Linked DNA regions of Drosophila melanogaster. The gene in region 2 interacts genetically with the main gene of each other region. Each region holds a gene or a part of one and is shown on either strand. Other genes may lie near its edges.

Region 1 (8,027 bases), on a different chromosome or scaffold from region 2:
AGTGGACGGAGATCCGGCTATCGCATTCGGATAGCACCAGTTCCAGCTACTCCAATCAGTCGCTGCTCGAGCAGCAGGGCCTGGATTCCACGGGCGGCATGTCCGGCGGCTTGGGTCTCGGCCTGGCCAGGAATCATCTCGATGCAGATGCCCAGTCCCAGCACTCGACCTCGTCGTCCGATGAGCCCAAGCGCAAGGTGACCTGCACGACGATATTCCAGGACGATAGCAGTGCATCCAGCGGCGGTGGCCAGCAGATGAGCCGCAAGCAGAGCCTCAGCCAGTGGTTGTCCCGCTCGAATAGCTTCAAGGGCAGCGGACGTCGCCAGAGCCTCGATCTGCTAATCGATGCCGGCGACAAGGTGAAGGATGTGTTTAGCTACGGCTTCCAGAAGGTGGGACGCAGCCTGGAGCGACGCAACAGCGAATCGGAGATGTCCGGCGATTGTGCAGCCGAAGGTGATGCACTGCTCGGCGGCACAACGGACGCACTGGCGCTGAGCGGTGGCGGAGCATCCGGCGGAACCGGCAGTGCAACCGGTGCAGCAGGTTCCGGTTCAGGATCTGGCGGCGGTGCCGGTGATTTTTTCCTCTTCAGCAGGTCAGTAGACGGTAATGGGGCAAAGGGTGGCGGTCGTAGTCTGCTCAACTCGCTGCACAGCCGCCTTGCCAAGCTCATTTGAACTCAGAACTCAGAAATCGGATTTCGATTCCGAAACCGAATTTGAATTTGAATTTGAATTTGAATTTCGAAAAAATATATGTATACCCGAACCGAAACAGCGATGATCAGCGCAATTTTTGCACCCATCTAATCCAACCAACCAACCAACTACAAAAATGAACCACCAACCAACCAACTGCAAAATTTATAAAATAGTACTCAATTTACTAATTACTAATATGAACGAATTGGCTGCTTTGATTTGGTCTCTGCTTTTGCTACTTTCAATCTCACAAAAATATATCTTTCAAAAAAAAACTAACTGCAACAACTACAACAACAACAGCAACAACAAGAACAACAACAACAACAACAAAAGCACGAACGCACACTCGCTTTAACCTCAAATTCTGTATGTACTGCTCAAAACGCAAAAACCAAAATCGAGAAATATCTGTTGTGTTTTTGTTTCTAAACGTTACCTTTTTCCCACTCATTAATCGCTTTGAATCGCTATTGCCTTCTCCCTCTAAGCCGAGTCATCTTCATATCGCTATCCCTGTCTAATTGAATGTACCTACGTTGAATAGCCTGTACTCTAGTTTTCAAAATTACCACTTTTGAGTTTAGTTGAATTTGAAAGTTATCTTAGGGGATCTGCCCATGAACTTAAATCTTATTATTTCAATTGAAAACTTTTTAATAAGAGTCTTTTGAAATTAGTTTTCCAAGTCTGTGAAGTATATTATACTATAATGGATCATAAGTATATAAAGGTATACACAAAGTGTATTATTTGCCAATTTGTATTATTTTCTTCATTGTTTTTAAATGAACTTGTAGAACTTGGAGTACCGGTTATCTGTAAGTCGGATAACATCGACTTTTTTTTGTTTAAGTGTTGTAATTGCTTACCTGTCCTATCACCCACTGTATATCATATGTGTACCCAATTATCTATCTATCGAATCTCAGTTCTGTGTTTTTCGTTCAGTTTTAACTATGCAAAGCTATTACATACAAAACTAACTAACTTTGCAGATCTTCAGAGCCAAAAGAGTTACTGTCCGATGAGCAGGTTGAGAATTTACTATTAAATCACTTGGTGGATGAGAATGGTGCCATTATAGTGGAGGAACTCAAATCGCCAACAACAACCACAAGCATGTACCACACACACCAACATCAACAGCAACAGCAACAACAACAACAGAATCAGCAGCAGAAGCAACAACAAAAGCAACACCACCAGGCACTAAACGTGGTTGGAGCCTTGCTGTTTTGAGCCGACAGCGAAATACCCTACACTTAGAAAAAAAAATCAACACCAAAACCGCCTCACCATCACACACACACACACACACACACATGAATGCGGTGATGGGAAAAGTCACTTTTAAATGAATAATTGCAATATAGTTCATAGATAATGATCGAAAGTGCCACAAGAAGTATTTAAAGTTTCAAAACTATGCACTATTTTTGAGCATTTTTGTAACGGAATTTTCGAAAGTACCTTTCTTCAATTTAGAAAACTCTTGTTTGGCCGCTGACACAACTTCCCCCATCACTGCACGCATACAAATATGAAAATTATGGCAAAATTTTACTCTATGAGTATTAGGGCATACTTACGATCGATCCAAAAAATCCAATTAGTCAAAAGCGTAGCGTACATATCATTCAAATACAAAAAGACATCAATCCCAGGTGGATCGAAATGGATGCGAGATGATGGATGAGCCAGCAGGAATCTTTTTAAATCCACACCAACGCACTCAGGCACGTGTGGCAAACTATGTTCTAATCCTAAATAAATGATGTGCAATAATTTAGTTTATGTAGTGGCATATACATAATTAAGAAAGTTACATTTTATGCTGTTTACAAAAAGCAAATAACTAAATGCTAGTCAACAAAAACGAAATCAGTTTAATAGTTTTAGTGTGTACGAGCTAAATATTCGGCAAAATGATTTACAAGAAACCCACAAAAATACATAAGAGTGTACAAATAATGGTAAATGTGGTGTGCACTGAAAGAAAACGAGGAGTGCGTTGACAATTCGCACCAAAAGCCGAATCAGCAATATTACTTTATGGAGACATTTGAAATACAAGCGACTTGCAAATTGTCCGCGAATTCTTCGGTTTTCTTCTGTTTGCGCCACTGAGTGTTAAATAATTGCATATATAAATACCTGCATAAAATTATATGAAGTGTATTATACAAAACTGAATGTTTCATTTCGAAAACTGGGCAGTTAGTGAATAAAATGGGGCTGCCATTTTTAATTGGTAACTATAAAGCTTTAGTTTCATTCTTTGTTATAATACGTAAAAAATCAACTTTAAAATTGACTAGTTTGTGTTATGTTATTAAATAATATAGCATTGCCTTTTAACGGTTTTCTATTTTAGAAATTTCATTTGACCACCATTCTTCAGCCTTTTGGTATTTTCTAGTTTAGTATTTCCTACCAAATAAAAAACTTATTCTATGATTATGCCCATTAATTTTTACTCAAATCCCATTTAAAATTTTTGATTAATTGGTGTATATTTTAACTTAATATTAAAAACTATATTCAAAATCAATAAGTAATCTATAATAACACAGTACCTAGAAAACCAGCTGATTGCTGATAATATGTAAGACATGGCGATAGACTTTTGAAAGCTTTTGCATTTCAACTTTTATTCGCCATACAAGTTGCATATAAGTGAACATGTACGCATTAAGATCAGGAACTTTAAAAACCACAACGTTCGATCTCCATCTATCAATTTGAAATTGGTATATATTGTAAATAACGCTGATAATAGGATTTAAAATCACACCAGCTGATATACGATATATCGATTGGGCTATCGCAAGCAGTGGCGCCCCATCTCTACGATAGTGCTTTCGCTGCACGCCGACGAACGCTTCGTGCAACTTCGTGCAGCTTCGTGCCACTCGGTTCGCAGTGGTTCGCTACGAACCGCCGACGGACGCTTTAGTTTGGCTGCAACGCTTTGCTGAGAACAGACCAAATCCGAAGCGAGCGGAGCCGAAGAGAAACCGAACAAACCAAACAAACCAAGCCAAACAATCCGAAGAAATCGCGTCGTGAGTTGTGTGGAAGGAAAAGCGGTTAAATAACGCGGCGATCTTAACTGTTGTTCTTCTTTTTTTTTTTCGGTGCTGGTGTATTTGCACATTCTACTTTTTTTTTCGTTCTATAAAGTGCCACTTTGTGTGTCTCGCTGGTCGTTTGTTTTCTTTTTGTCGTGGGAAATGCGCGCGCGCATTTAAGAAGTGGCAGGAAAACTCCAAACGCAGCTGGTAAAGATTCAAGTTTTCCAAAAAAAAAAAAAAAATAATAATAAAAGAAAACCAACAAGAAAAACCGAAAACCCAAAAAACAACAAAAAACACGAATGCATTGCCAGCAGATGATAAAGAAGGAGAGCAAGAAGAAGAGCGCACCGCGACGCCTTCTGCTGTTGTGGTTGTTGTTGCCGTTCTTGGCCGTGTTTGTTGTTGTCGTTGTTGCCGCTTTTATCTGCATTGTCTTGCGTCTTAACTCGTTTCGCTTTGGCCTTTTCGGCTCTCCTCTCTCCCCGTTTTCCACACTCCCCCACTCTTCTCATCATGCCAATGCGTGTGTGTGTGTGTGTGTGTGTGTGTGCCGTCCATGGATGCGCTTTGCCACTGGCTTTTCCCTCTCTTCTCCACGTTCCTCTGTCTCTTTGCCACACACACGCCTTTTTTCGGCTTACGGCGGCGGCAGCAGCGGCAACAACAACAACAACAAGCTGCCGCAAAAAATCGATAACGGTATTGGCAGCGGCGGCAGCACAAGAAAACGGCAACAACTTCCGCTTCCCCAAAAGTTGCAAAATGTCACCTGCCCCAAGGATTAGATAATCAAAAAGGGCACGCGAAGAGAGAGAGCAAAGAAAAGCAATAACCAAGGGAGAGAGAGAGAGAGAGAGTGTGTGGGAGTGGGCTTAGGCTTGGGCTTGCCACGCCCCCCGCCTTAAAGCGTGGCTGTCACAATTCTTGTTTTAATTAAGAGCCAAACATTCAATTACAACTCGCTTGCTCTCTCACTCGCTCCCTATCGCTGTCTCATTCGCACCCTCTTACTCTCCGCTCAGCCATCTATGCATCTTGGACCTACAACAACAATAATAACAACAACAACAACAAGAGATACAGAACAAGGAGGCAAAAAAGTAACAGAAGAAGAAGAAGCAGCAGCAGTCAACTTGCAACACAATCGTTGTTGCTTTTTGGGTAAGTGTTTTCCTTTGACGAAATTCAGTTTGAGATACTAAGATACTTTTGCATCTCTGAAGTACATATATACGTAGTTATGGATAAGATACACATGAAATCGGGAGAAGGTTGAAACGTTTTTATTCATTTTAATATTTAATACAAATTAGAATATGAGTAAAGTAAATATTATATTTTCTCAATACATGTATATAAAATTTAATATTTTATTGAAAAGAAAGAAAGAAAGAAAGAAAGCAAAAATAGAATGAAAAATATAATCGAAAATCCTATTTAAATAACATGAATATTATTATATATGTAGAACTGAAATTTTATCCAAAAAAGGAAAATAAAATTAATATTAGTACTAACTACTTATAGCGTTTTTCATAAACAATTATTATCTTTAAATTGTTGTTTAACTAGATTCCAGTTGGATATAACACAAATCCGTCAACTTTAACTGCTGATCGTTATTAGCTTACTTTTTATTGTTTCGATAAAAAGTAAGACTTTTAGTTTATGACCAATCATTTTTACGATGATCATACATTTATGGCTATTAATAACAACTACTTAACTGTGTATTTGACTAACTAATGACTTGACTAGATAATTGTAGCTTCTAAGCCAGTTTAAATGGCTTCTATTCATAGATTTTCACTAGGGATTTCGAATTATTTAGCTCATTTATTATCTGAATCATTAGGGCGATGGCTATAAATAATTGCAACCCTTTTAACAAATTGCCTTTAATATTATAGTTTTAAATTGTGTGTGCTGCAGCAGCTGACACATGTGTTTTCTTTTCGCCCCGCCGACTTTTCATATTTGTGTTTGTTGGAATATACTATTCAACCTACAAAAATAACGTTAAACAACACTACTTTATATTTGATATGAATGGCCACACCTTTTATGCCATAAAACATATTGTAAGAGAATACCACTCTTTTTATTCCTTCTTTCCTTCTTGTACGTTTTTTGCTGTGAGTAGGTCGTGGTGCTGGTGTTGCAGTTGAAATAACTTAAAATATAAATCATAAAACTCAAACATAAACTTGACTATTTATTTATTTATTAAGAAAGGAAATATAAATTATAAATTACAACAGGTTATGGGCCCAGTCCATGCCTAATAAACAATTAAATTGTGAATTAAAGATTGTGAAAATAAATTGTGAAATAGCATTTTTTTCACATTCTTGTGAAATAGCTTTTTTTTTCACATTCTTGTGAAATTATTTCCTTCTCAGAATTTGAGTGAAAAATGGACAAGGCTAAACGTAATATTAAGCCGTTTGATGGCGAGAAGTACGCGATTTGGAAATTTAGAATTAGGGCTCTTTTAGCCGAGCAAGATGTGCTTAAAGTAGTTGATGGTTTAATGCCTAACGAGGTAGATGACTCCTGGAAAAAGGCAGAGCGTTGTGCAAAAAGTACAATAATAGAGTACCTAAGCGACTCGTTTTTAAATTTCGCAACAAGCGACATTACGGCGCGTCAGATTCTTGAGAATTTGGACGCCGTTTATGAACGAAAAAGTTTGGCGTCGCAACTGGCGCTGCGAAAACGTTTGCTTTCTCTGAAGCTATCGAGTGAGATGTCACTATTAAGCCATTTTCATATTTTTGACGAACTTATAAGTGAATTGTTGGCAGCTGGTGCAAAAATAGAAGAGATGGATAAAATTTCTCATCTACTGATCACATTGCCTTCGTGTTACGATGGAATTATTACAGCGATAGAGACATTATCTGAAGAAAATTTGACATTGGCGTTTGTGAAAAATAGATTGCTGGATCAAGAAATTAAAATTAAAAATGACCACAACGATACAAGCAAGAAAGTTATGAACGCGATCGTGCACAACAATAATAACACTTATAAAAATAATTTGTTTAAAAATCGGGTAACTAAACCAAAGAAAATATTCAAGGGAAATTCAAAGTATAAAGTCAAGTGTCACCACTGTGGCAGAGAAGGCCACATTAAAAAAGATTGTTTCCATTATAAAAGAATATTAAATAATAAAAATAAAGAAAATGAAAAACAAGTTCAAACTGCAACATCACACGGCATTGCGTTTATGGTAAAAGAAGTGAATAATACTTCAGTGATGGACAACTGCGGGTTTGTCCTTGATTCTGGTGCTAGTGACCATCTTATAAATGATGAGTCGCTGTATACCGACAGTGTGGAGGTTGTGCCTCCACTTAAGATTGCAGTGGCCAAGCAAGGCGAATTTATTTATGCCACTAAGCGTGGTATTGTCCGACTACGGAATGACCATGAGATTACACTGGAGGATGTACTCTTTTGTAAGGAAGCTGCTGGTAATTTGATGTCCGTAAAGCGTCTCCAAGAGGCAGGAATGTCGATCGAATTTGACAAAAGCGGTGTAACCATTTCGAAAAATGGGTTAATGGTTGTCAAAAATTCAGGTATGTTAAACAATGTACCTGTGATCAATTTTCAAGCATATTCTATAAATGCTAAGCATAAAAATAATTTTCGTTTATGGCATGAGAGGTTTGGCCATATAAGCGATGGCAAATTATTAGAAATAAAACGAAAGAATATGTTTAGTGATCAAAGTCTTCTAAACAACTTAGAGTTATCATGTGAAATTTGTGAACCCTGTTTAAATGGTAAACAGGCAAGACTTCCTTTTAAACAATTGAAAGATAAGACCCATATTAAAAGACCACTTTTTGTAGTACACTCAGATGTCTGTGGGCCTATTACTCCAGTTACTTTAGATGATAAAAATTATTTTGTGATCTTTGTTGATCAGTTTACACATTATTGTGTAACTTATTTAATTAAATATAAATCTGATGTGTTTAGCATGTTTCAAGATTTTGTAGCCAAGAGTGAAGCTCATTTTAATTTAAAGGTTGTGTACTTATACATTGACAATGGTAGAGAATACTTGTCAAATGAGATGAGACAATTTTGTGTTAAGAAAGGAATTTCTTATCACTTAACAGTGCCACATACACCTCAGTTAAATGGTGTTTCTGAGAGAATGATAAGAACCATTACGGAAAAAGCTCGAACCATGGTTAGTGGTGCAAAGCTAGATAAAAGC
Region 2 (7,548 bases):
GGTGGCAGGCTGACAAGGCTGGCAAGGCTGCTGCGGATGGGTGCCACGTCATCGTCGCCATTCACGTGGCTGCGTCTTTACATAAGCATGACCTCACCTTGGCTTTTCTATTCATTTACATTTACATTTTCATTTTCATTTTCGCAGCACAGCAGCCAGTTGACAATTGGTGTTTCGTGCAACGTATTTACATGGCGCCACCTGTTTTGCTCAGTGCATCTGCTGCGGCGACTGCATAATTTATGCTTACGCATGTCAAGTGTCGCATATGCCTGGAAATGCTCGTCCTTCGGGGGGGCGGAGGAGTCGCCGAAGGCGGTGGCGCCGGGCTAGACTTGGCAGCTCCTGTCACTCAGTAGCTTAAGGACTTTGCAGGCGGTCCTGCTGCCTGTTGCTTTGCCCCACGCTCACCGAGCCAAACTCTTTGGCCACTAACTTTTGTCAACCGAAAAATGCCTGCAGGCAAATTGCAATCAAAGTGGCAGAACGCTAGAAACTTTGCCGTAAAATGCAACAGTTCGACCACAAAAACAATTTGGGAAACTTCAATTCCAAAAAATTAGATACTGAATAGCATTGATTGAACTGCAATGTTCGTAGATATGTGGAAACAAAGTTTAAAAAGTAATAAAGAATCGATTAAATTGATTTAATGAAAATGTTAGCTCATCCAAAAGTGTTCGTTCTCTATACATTGGCATAATAATAATAATAATAGGCAGCCGAAAAGAGTAATTTGGCCAAGGAACGTCGTAAAAAGAAATCCAATTTGCCTGGGAAATGCCCTGAATATTTTGCGTCCTCAAAATAAATGACGGCGGGGGGTGCGTGATTGGGCCAACTTAAATTCACGTGCTACCCGCTGTTATGGCCATAAACCGCATTGTGAAATGCCGTACCACATGTCGTATACGCAATGCTTTTTATTTGGGCCAATTTTGCGTTGCGCGAGGGGCAGTTAGAGAGAGAGAGAGAGAGAGGGGGCGTGGTTCGGGCCAAGGGCAAACAGCGACTTGGCGACGCGCTCGTGCTTAGTTTTATATTGTTCTATTTCCCACTGGATTTTCCTAGCGCTCTAACTCTGATTTCCCTTTGGGCGAAGGTTCTATTGTATTTTTTTTTTTTTTTTGGAAATATCTTGAATATGGCAAAATGCAATGGTTTGCAGATGTTCTACAATTGGCAAGGTCACAGTCATGGGCTGGCATTTTCCTTTCGTTTCCAACCACAAGCCCAACACTCGACAACGTGACGTATGCGTAATAAATAAGACTGGCGGCACTCGGCTCTAAGGACAATTGTATTGGCTCCTGATACCGGCTATATCCTACCCCCACATCAACACACACATACAGACATAACACACACACACACATCACTGGAACAATCGATCAATAAAAGAAAAAACCCAACACGAAATTCATTTCAATGCTGCGACTTGACATTCAGTCAAGGCGTTCATTGTGGCACTGGCAATAGCAAAGCCAGTCGTTCAATCAATACGGCAATGCATCAATTTGTCATCCCCGCCATGGCTCCTTTTCACTGCATTGTTGTTGTTGCTTTGCTGGTTTATTAAATGCAGCAACTTGTTTATTTGTTGCTGTTATTCGCTGTCTGATTGATAAGCAAACGGGGGGAATCAACGAATTCAGCCAATAACGAAGGGCGGGATCATGACTATGCGGTTTCTATGCACGTACACAGAGGAAAAAATGTACAAAATTAATTTATATAGCATACTGTTAGCTGGTCAACAATTTTAAATTATATTTTACTAATATAACTTCCAGTCCTAAATATTTTTCTACAAGTATAACATTACAGTAGCATTACTGATATATGACTTACTCACTGCCCTAGTTTTTTTTCAGTGCACCAAAGGCTTATTGGCTTAATGTGCCAGCTGACGCTAAAAGAGCTGGCAAGTCTGGCCGGGATTCAGTCGGAAGCTCTGAGGACGGTTTGACATTTAAGCAATTTGTTCGCAGCAGCTGCCAAATGCACACTTATTAACGTGTGTATCTGTGAACGCGTTTTGTATCTGTATCTGCATCTGTCTCTATTCCTGGGGTAACAAATAGAAAGCTACTCCTTGCATTTGAAATGAGGGAAGGGCATGGAAATGGGAATGCCCGGCGGCAATTAGTTGGCACTAGCCCAGGGCCACGCCCATCATAAATATATAAATCAAGGCGGTCACAGCCCACAACTAATTAGACGATGGCCTGGACAAACAGAGAGTTGCGATTTGTGTGTGCGTGGAAGGAGGTAAAAAGGCATGGCGGGGGGATCGGAAAAAAACGCGGGGCGGGAAATCGGGTGCGAGGGCGGAAAGTTGAGAGCGAAAAATAGGGGAGTGTTGGAGAATTTAGGCTGAATGGGTGTGTCCACTTAGGCCGACTATCGACCAGCGTTTGTTTTGTTTTCCTTTCATTGGGCTAAATGTTGTTTTTGTGAGCGGAAAAACAAATTGAGATAATTACCAAATAATAGATTAGAACCATCTATAAAAGTTTAAACTGTGTCGCAGAGTATTTGCTCGTCAATAGCAGACTAGAATTTCATCATACATATTTGTTATGTTAAATTTGTTGTTCTCTTAAGATATTTAAATATAGAAACACTTGTTTGGTTTGTCTCATTTGCTTTGCCAGCTATTTGTTGTCGAACCTAAAAGCCGCCAAAAAAAAAAAACACTTTTACTTCCAAAATTTTACTGGTGTCTTCCACAAAATGTATAAAAAACACGGCATATACGCGACACGTTGTGGTCATAAATCAAAAGAGATATAAATGTGTGCAAATAAATTCTTTGCAGACCGGATTGGAAAAAGATATATTAATTACTTAAACTTGAATACTTCACAGTAAAGCAATAAATAAAATATATAATTCCAAAAAGCAATATTTTTAAGTAGATCATTTTTGGGTAAAAGGATTTTATCTGCGAAGATAAAGTCGAATTAGAGTCCAATTAAAATTTGCTGCCAATGTTGATGGTACCGTTTTATTTCATGGCTAAAACGGCTCACATTTCCCGCCAACAAGCACCATCAGCACCCTCGAATTTTCCCGGACTTTCTTTCATATGCAAATGTGTGGGCAGCAGCAGCTGCGGCATTTTGCTTCCTTTATCGGGCTAATTGAATACGTGTGTCGAAACACAAAACGGCGAAGAAAATGGTTGGCGGACAATCGCCATTGCACGTCACGAGTCATAAATGCAAAGCGGAGAAAGCAGTGAAAGCGGAGAAAGCCAGAGCAGCGTCATTTGCCATGTAAATTAGACAGCGGCCAGCCTTGAAGTGTGCTATGGAAATTGCACTCGCTTGCCGGACATGCGGCGAATGTTGCATGCTGCTCGTCGCACGTTGCACGTCGCACGGTGCCAGTTGTTAGTTGTGCCTGGTCTCTGGTTTCTGGTTTCTGTTTTCCGGCTGGTCATGTGTGAAAAATGGCAACTGTGTCAGCGCCTACACGACCGCGTCAATTGCATTATTCAGAAACTGAAACTGTGTTGCAAGAACAAAAGCCACTTGCGATGGGTGCACCAATGAGTCAGAAGGGGGTGGCACGCTGGGCGGCGGTGGGTGACCCTTAATTATGCAAAAGACGGCAACGACCTTGAAGCTGCCAATTGCAGCGCACGTAATTAAAGACGAGCAACGAAACGCAACTCAACACAACGGGTCTGTTGCCACAGTGTTCTCTGCGTAAAGCGAATGTGTAGGTATCCAATAATAATAAGATATTGTATCTTTAAGATTCTTAGATCTAAAATATAGATTGAATGGTAATTTTTTACTTATGTATTTCTAATACGTTATATGATCTATACGCGGAGATACAGTTCTCTGTAATTATATCCCCAATTTGTTGCAGTGGGTCTATCCATATCCTGGTGATTCGAATTAATTAAAGCCAGGAGCGACCACTGTACGTTTCCAAACCCATTTTCCAGCCCTTTGGGACAACGTGTGAAATTTCCCATTGTGTGATCGATAAAATGGCCATGTGAGCGGGTAGGGGGCGGTGGGAGGCGGCAGACTGTGCGGTGTTGTCGCGTCCTTGAAGGCAAATTTACGACAATATAAACAACTTGGCAGCGAAAGAGTCCAAGCTCGAAACCCGGTCCTTGCCGATAAGGATAAGGATACCAATAAGGATACGGGGCATTCGCTTGGCGCGTAATTTTATGACACAGCAAAAGCTATCGACGGCTGCCAGAAGACAAATTGCCTATAAAACGACAAAGTCAATAAAATGGTGGGGAAAAAAAAAAAACGGAGAAGCGTGTAACGTGTGACCGAGTTACAGATACATACATACATATGCAGACATATACTGCAAATCCTGTTTGCCACACATAAATTGAAATTTTCGCAAACGAAATTTGCGTGGAAAATGATGCGCTCAGGCCGAGCTTTTCAGTATTTGCACAAAGTCTTTTGGCTTTGGCTAATCCCCAACGAATGCTGCCATTCTTTGCATTGAGCTTTCCAACTGAAATTCTTCGTTTTTTTGTGCTAAACTTTGCCTATTTTCGTATCTCTACATCAACACCGAAGGACCGAGCATAAGGGATATGAGAAGAACAGCACAGCATTTCCGATAGGAGAAGTGGAGGTTCAAGTGCACTGCGAAAAAAATATCCCAATATAAATTTCAAGTCTTTAGACTATTTAAATTTTTTTTAACGGTACAGCTTGTTTCACTCCATAGTCTACTACACAGCTATATAGATTAGACACTCGCAAAAAGGTGCATTATAGCCAAGTAATTGTCAAAAAAACACGTCTAATGTTATCTTAAATAAATTATCAAAAAAAATTAAAAATTCTCAAAGTTCTCTTCTTTTTTTTTAAGTGTCAGCACTTTCCTTTCGACCATTACTTCTAGAGTTTCGCTCTTTTCGGGGTTGTTTATGTTTTGGTTCGCTCTTTCGCGTTCCCTCTCGCTCCCTGTTTCTTCCCATCTATCTTCGCTTTTTTTTTGTGTTGAGGTAGGATGCGTCTGGAGCAAAGCTCGACTTGATGCTCCCTGCCACCGAAAAATTGCTCACCTGAGACTGCTCGTGTTGAGAACCTTTGCCTTGACATTGCTCAGTTTTTCCAGTTGATCGGTTGAGTATTAAGTTGATTTCTTGTATAATATTTAATGGGTATTTATTACATTTTTTCTTGAACACTTTGTCTTTATCACTTTGTTTGCTAACTCTTTGGCTGCAACAGGCAAGAACTGTAAAATATCTAGATGAATGTGGGCTTAAGATATATCTAACCAAGTCGGTGGCCCTCAAAGGAACTTTAAGCAGCCCGTGTATTTTTCACTAATAAATCAATCAAATAATATTTTAATGCATGCATTAGGTGGTGTTGATTTAAATGGATTTTCTTTTCAGATAAGATAATTTATAAGGGGCACGATTTATGGCTTTGGTGTCGCGATAATAATATATCTTTCAAACTTTGTCACTTTGCACTGTCGAACTTTCTTGCTATGGTTAACTGAATTTCCATTTCCAATTTCCCGATTTTCGGGGCACATGCAACATTAATTTTTTTCGCTTTACTTGTTGGCTTTTCCGTGGGCTGCTGATTTTCTGCTTAGCCTTCAACACACATACAGCCAAAGGCGTTCTCACACAGATACCAGTACACACAGGACCCTCTCACAGACACATGTGCGCAGGTGTGTGCCTTGATTTTTCAATTATCCTCAAGCTCGTAATTTGCACAATTTAATTGAATTCACTTTGCCATTCGAATTTTCAAATTTTCAAATATTCCATTTTTGATTGTGATTGGCATTGGTATGCAATGAAAATTAAGGCCAGCCGAAAAGTGTGTTTGCTGGCCGCGTGTTGGTGTGTGTGTGTGTGTGCGGGCGTGTGTTGGTGTTGTGTCTGCTGTGTGTGTGTGCTTCCACCGTTTCCAACAACAACAACCACTGAACGCGCTGCTGCTGCTGCCGCTGAATCTTTTCGATGCGTGCGTAGATGCGACGCGCTCACTGTCTAACTGGCAACTGTTTTCCGTTTTTCCATCGCTTTTCTTCTCTTCTGCTAACGCCCCGACAACTCGGCGAACTCTCTCTCGCACGATAGAGAGGGAGAGAGAGATCTGAGAGAGAGGGCGGCTGGAAATGGAAATGGAAAAGCAGCAACAGGAAGCGAGAGAAAGCGAAGCTTTCGCCAGCTGAAAGCTCGGCAAACGCACATGGCGTTTGTTTATATTTGTGGCAGGTAAAAATAGCACTGCATATTTTTAGGCACCGCCAACCAGAATCTCCCACTGCGCATGACCCAATTTTAGTTGGCCAAAAGCATGAGCCTGGTTAAACTAATTAATTTATCTAGTTGCTCCCACTCTAGTTTGCAATTGGTATCTATTATCTCCAAGTTCTCATCTCTAAGCTATTTTTTAAAGAAATAATATTAGTAGATAGGAAATTAAATAAGTGAGAGCACTTCATTGCATTTAAGACTACTTATGAAAATAAATTTAATTTTCGCAGTATTTATTCTATTAATTTTGGATTCAAATCTTTTGGTTTTACCTCCCTGATCACTAATCTTCTCCAGCACTTGGTTCGGCCACCTGCTGCTGATCGGCCAAGTTATGCCTGAGTGGATATAGCTGCTCCATGTGTTCTATAAAGGGTCGAATACCATCCGGATTCTTCATGTACTTGGCCACGCTGAGGATGATGTGGCGGTAGATCTGGTGATCCCGATAGGCCGCATTCGGTCGTCGCTTTTGTGGCGGTCTTAAATGGTGTATAAATGATAAATTAACACAAACTGTTAAATTTAAATCATAACTATTATACCGCTCTTGAGCTCTTTGAATCACCCGTCGTCGTCGCACTGATTCAGTTCTTCGGCAGCGCTCACAATAAGCGAAATATGCACAAGTGATGATTACCAGTGCGGAAAGTGCGTAGATGAGCCAACTCCAGCTGAGAACCCTATATGAAAAATGGTATATAGTAACATAAAGTAAAAGTGATCCTATCTGCGTGTTACGTCACAAATGTAGCATTCAAATCCCTCCAGATGGGCGAGATCTGCTCCAGCTGGGTCTTTTTGGCATCCCTCCTCCAGAACACAAATTGAGGCATCATCATTGGCCTGATCGACTGGCTGCGACTGGCTACCTTTTGAAGACCGGATAAAATTTTGAAAATCAGCTAACTAGTGTTATGCGTTGGTTTTGATTCTTTGAAATTTAAAAATAATACTAAATCTCATGTTATTCGAGCTTTGAGTGTTGAGGAAAAGCAGTGCTGACTTAATACATAATATAGTAAGCATTTTATCAAAAGAATGATTTGCTGCAGTAGCTTTGGAAAAGTATCAATTAAATTATTGCCTCATTAATGCGAAAGCATGATCAATGCATCGATGCCAGATGCTTATGCTGCTTATCCTTAACAACCTGGAAGTTAAGGCTTAAAATGGCGCCAAGGTCGAAGATCGTCGAACATTCTACGATCGATTGCCCGGCGGGATCATCATTTAACTAATTCAAGTTTGCCACATTG

Evidence for each region. A genetic interaction does not mean that the proteins touch.
Region 1: of DopEcR (region 2) and rut, changing one suppresses a phenotype caused by changing the other (phenotypic suppression), as found in Drosophila melanogaster (one study listed by BioGRID).

The regions. Positions count from the first base shown.
Region 1 is NC_004354.4:14,821,710-14,829,736, reverse strand, and holds the start of rut (rutabaga), read left to right. Parts: upstream 1-3,663; 5' UTR 3,664-3,775; intron 3,776-3,831; exon of another isoform or gene 3,832-3,991; intron 3,992-4,809; 5' UTR 4,810-4,948; intron 4,949-8,027. Other genes in the region: CG14408 (uncharacterized protein), read left to right, coding at 1-601, 1,706-1,949. UniProt on the Drosophila melanogaster protein: This is a membrane-bound, calmodulin-sensitive adenylyl cyclase. Inactivation of this cyclase leads to a learning and memory defect.
Region 2 is NT_037436.4:4,374,356-4,381,903, forward strand, and holds the start of DopEcR (Dopamine/Ecdysteroid receptor), read right to left. Parts: upstream 6,033-7,548; 5' UTR 5,576-6,032; intron 5,245-5,575; exon of another isoform or gene 5,242-5,244; 5' UTR 5,066-5,241; intron 3,645-5,065; exon of another isoform or gene 3,013-3,644; intron 1-3,012. Other genes in the region: CG32240 (uncharacterized protein), read right to left, coding at 6,573-6,771, 6,835-6,972, 7,031-7,131.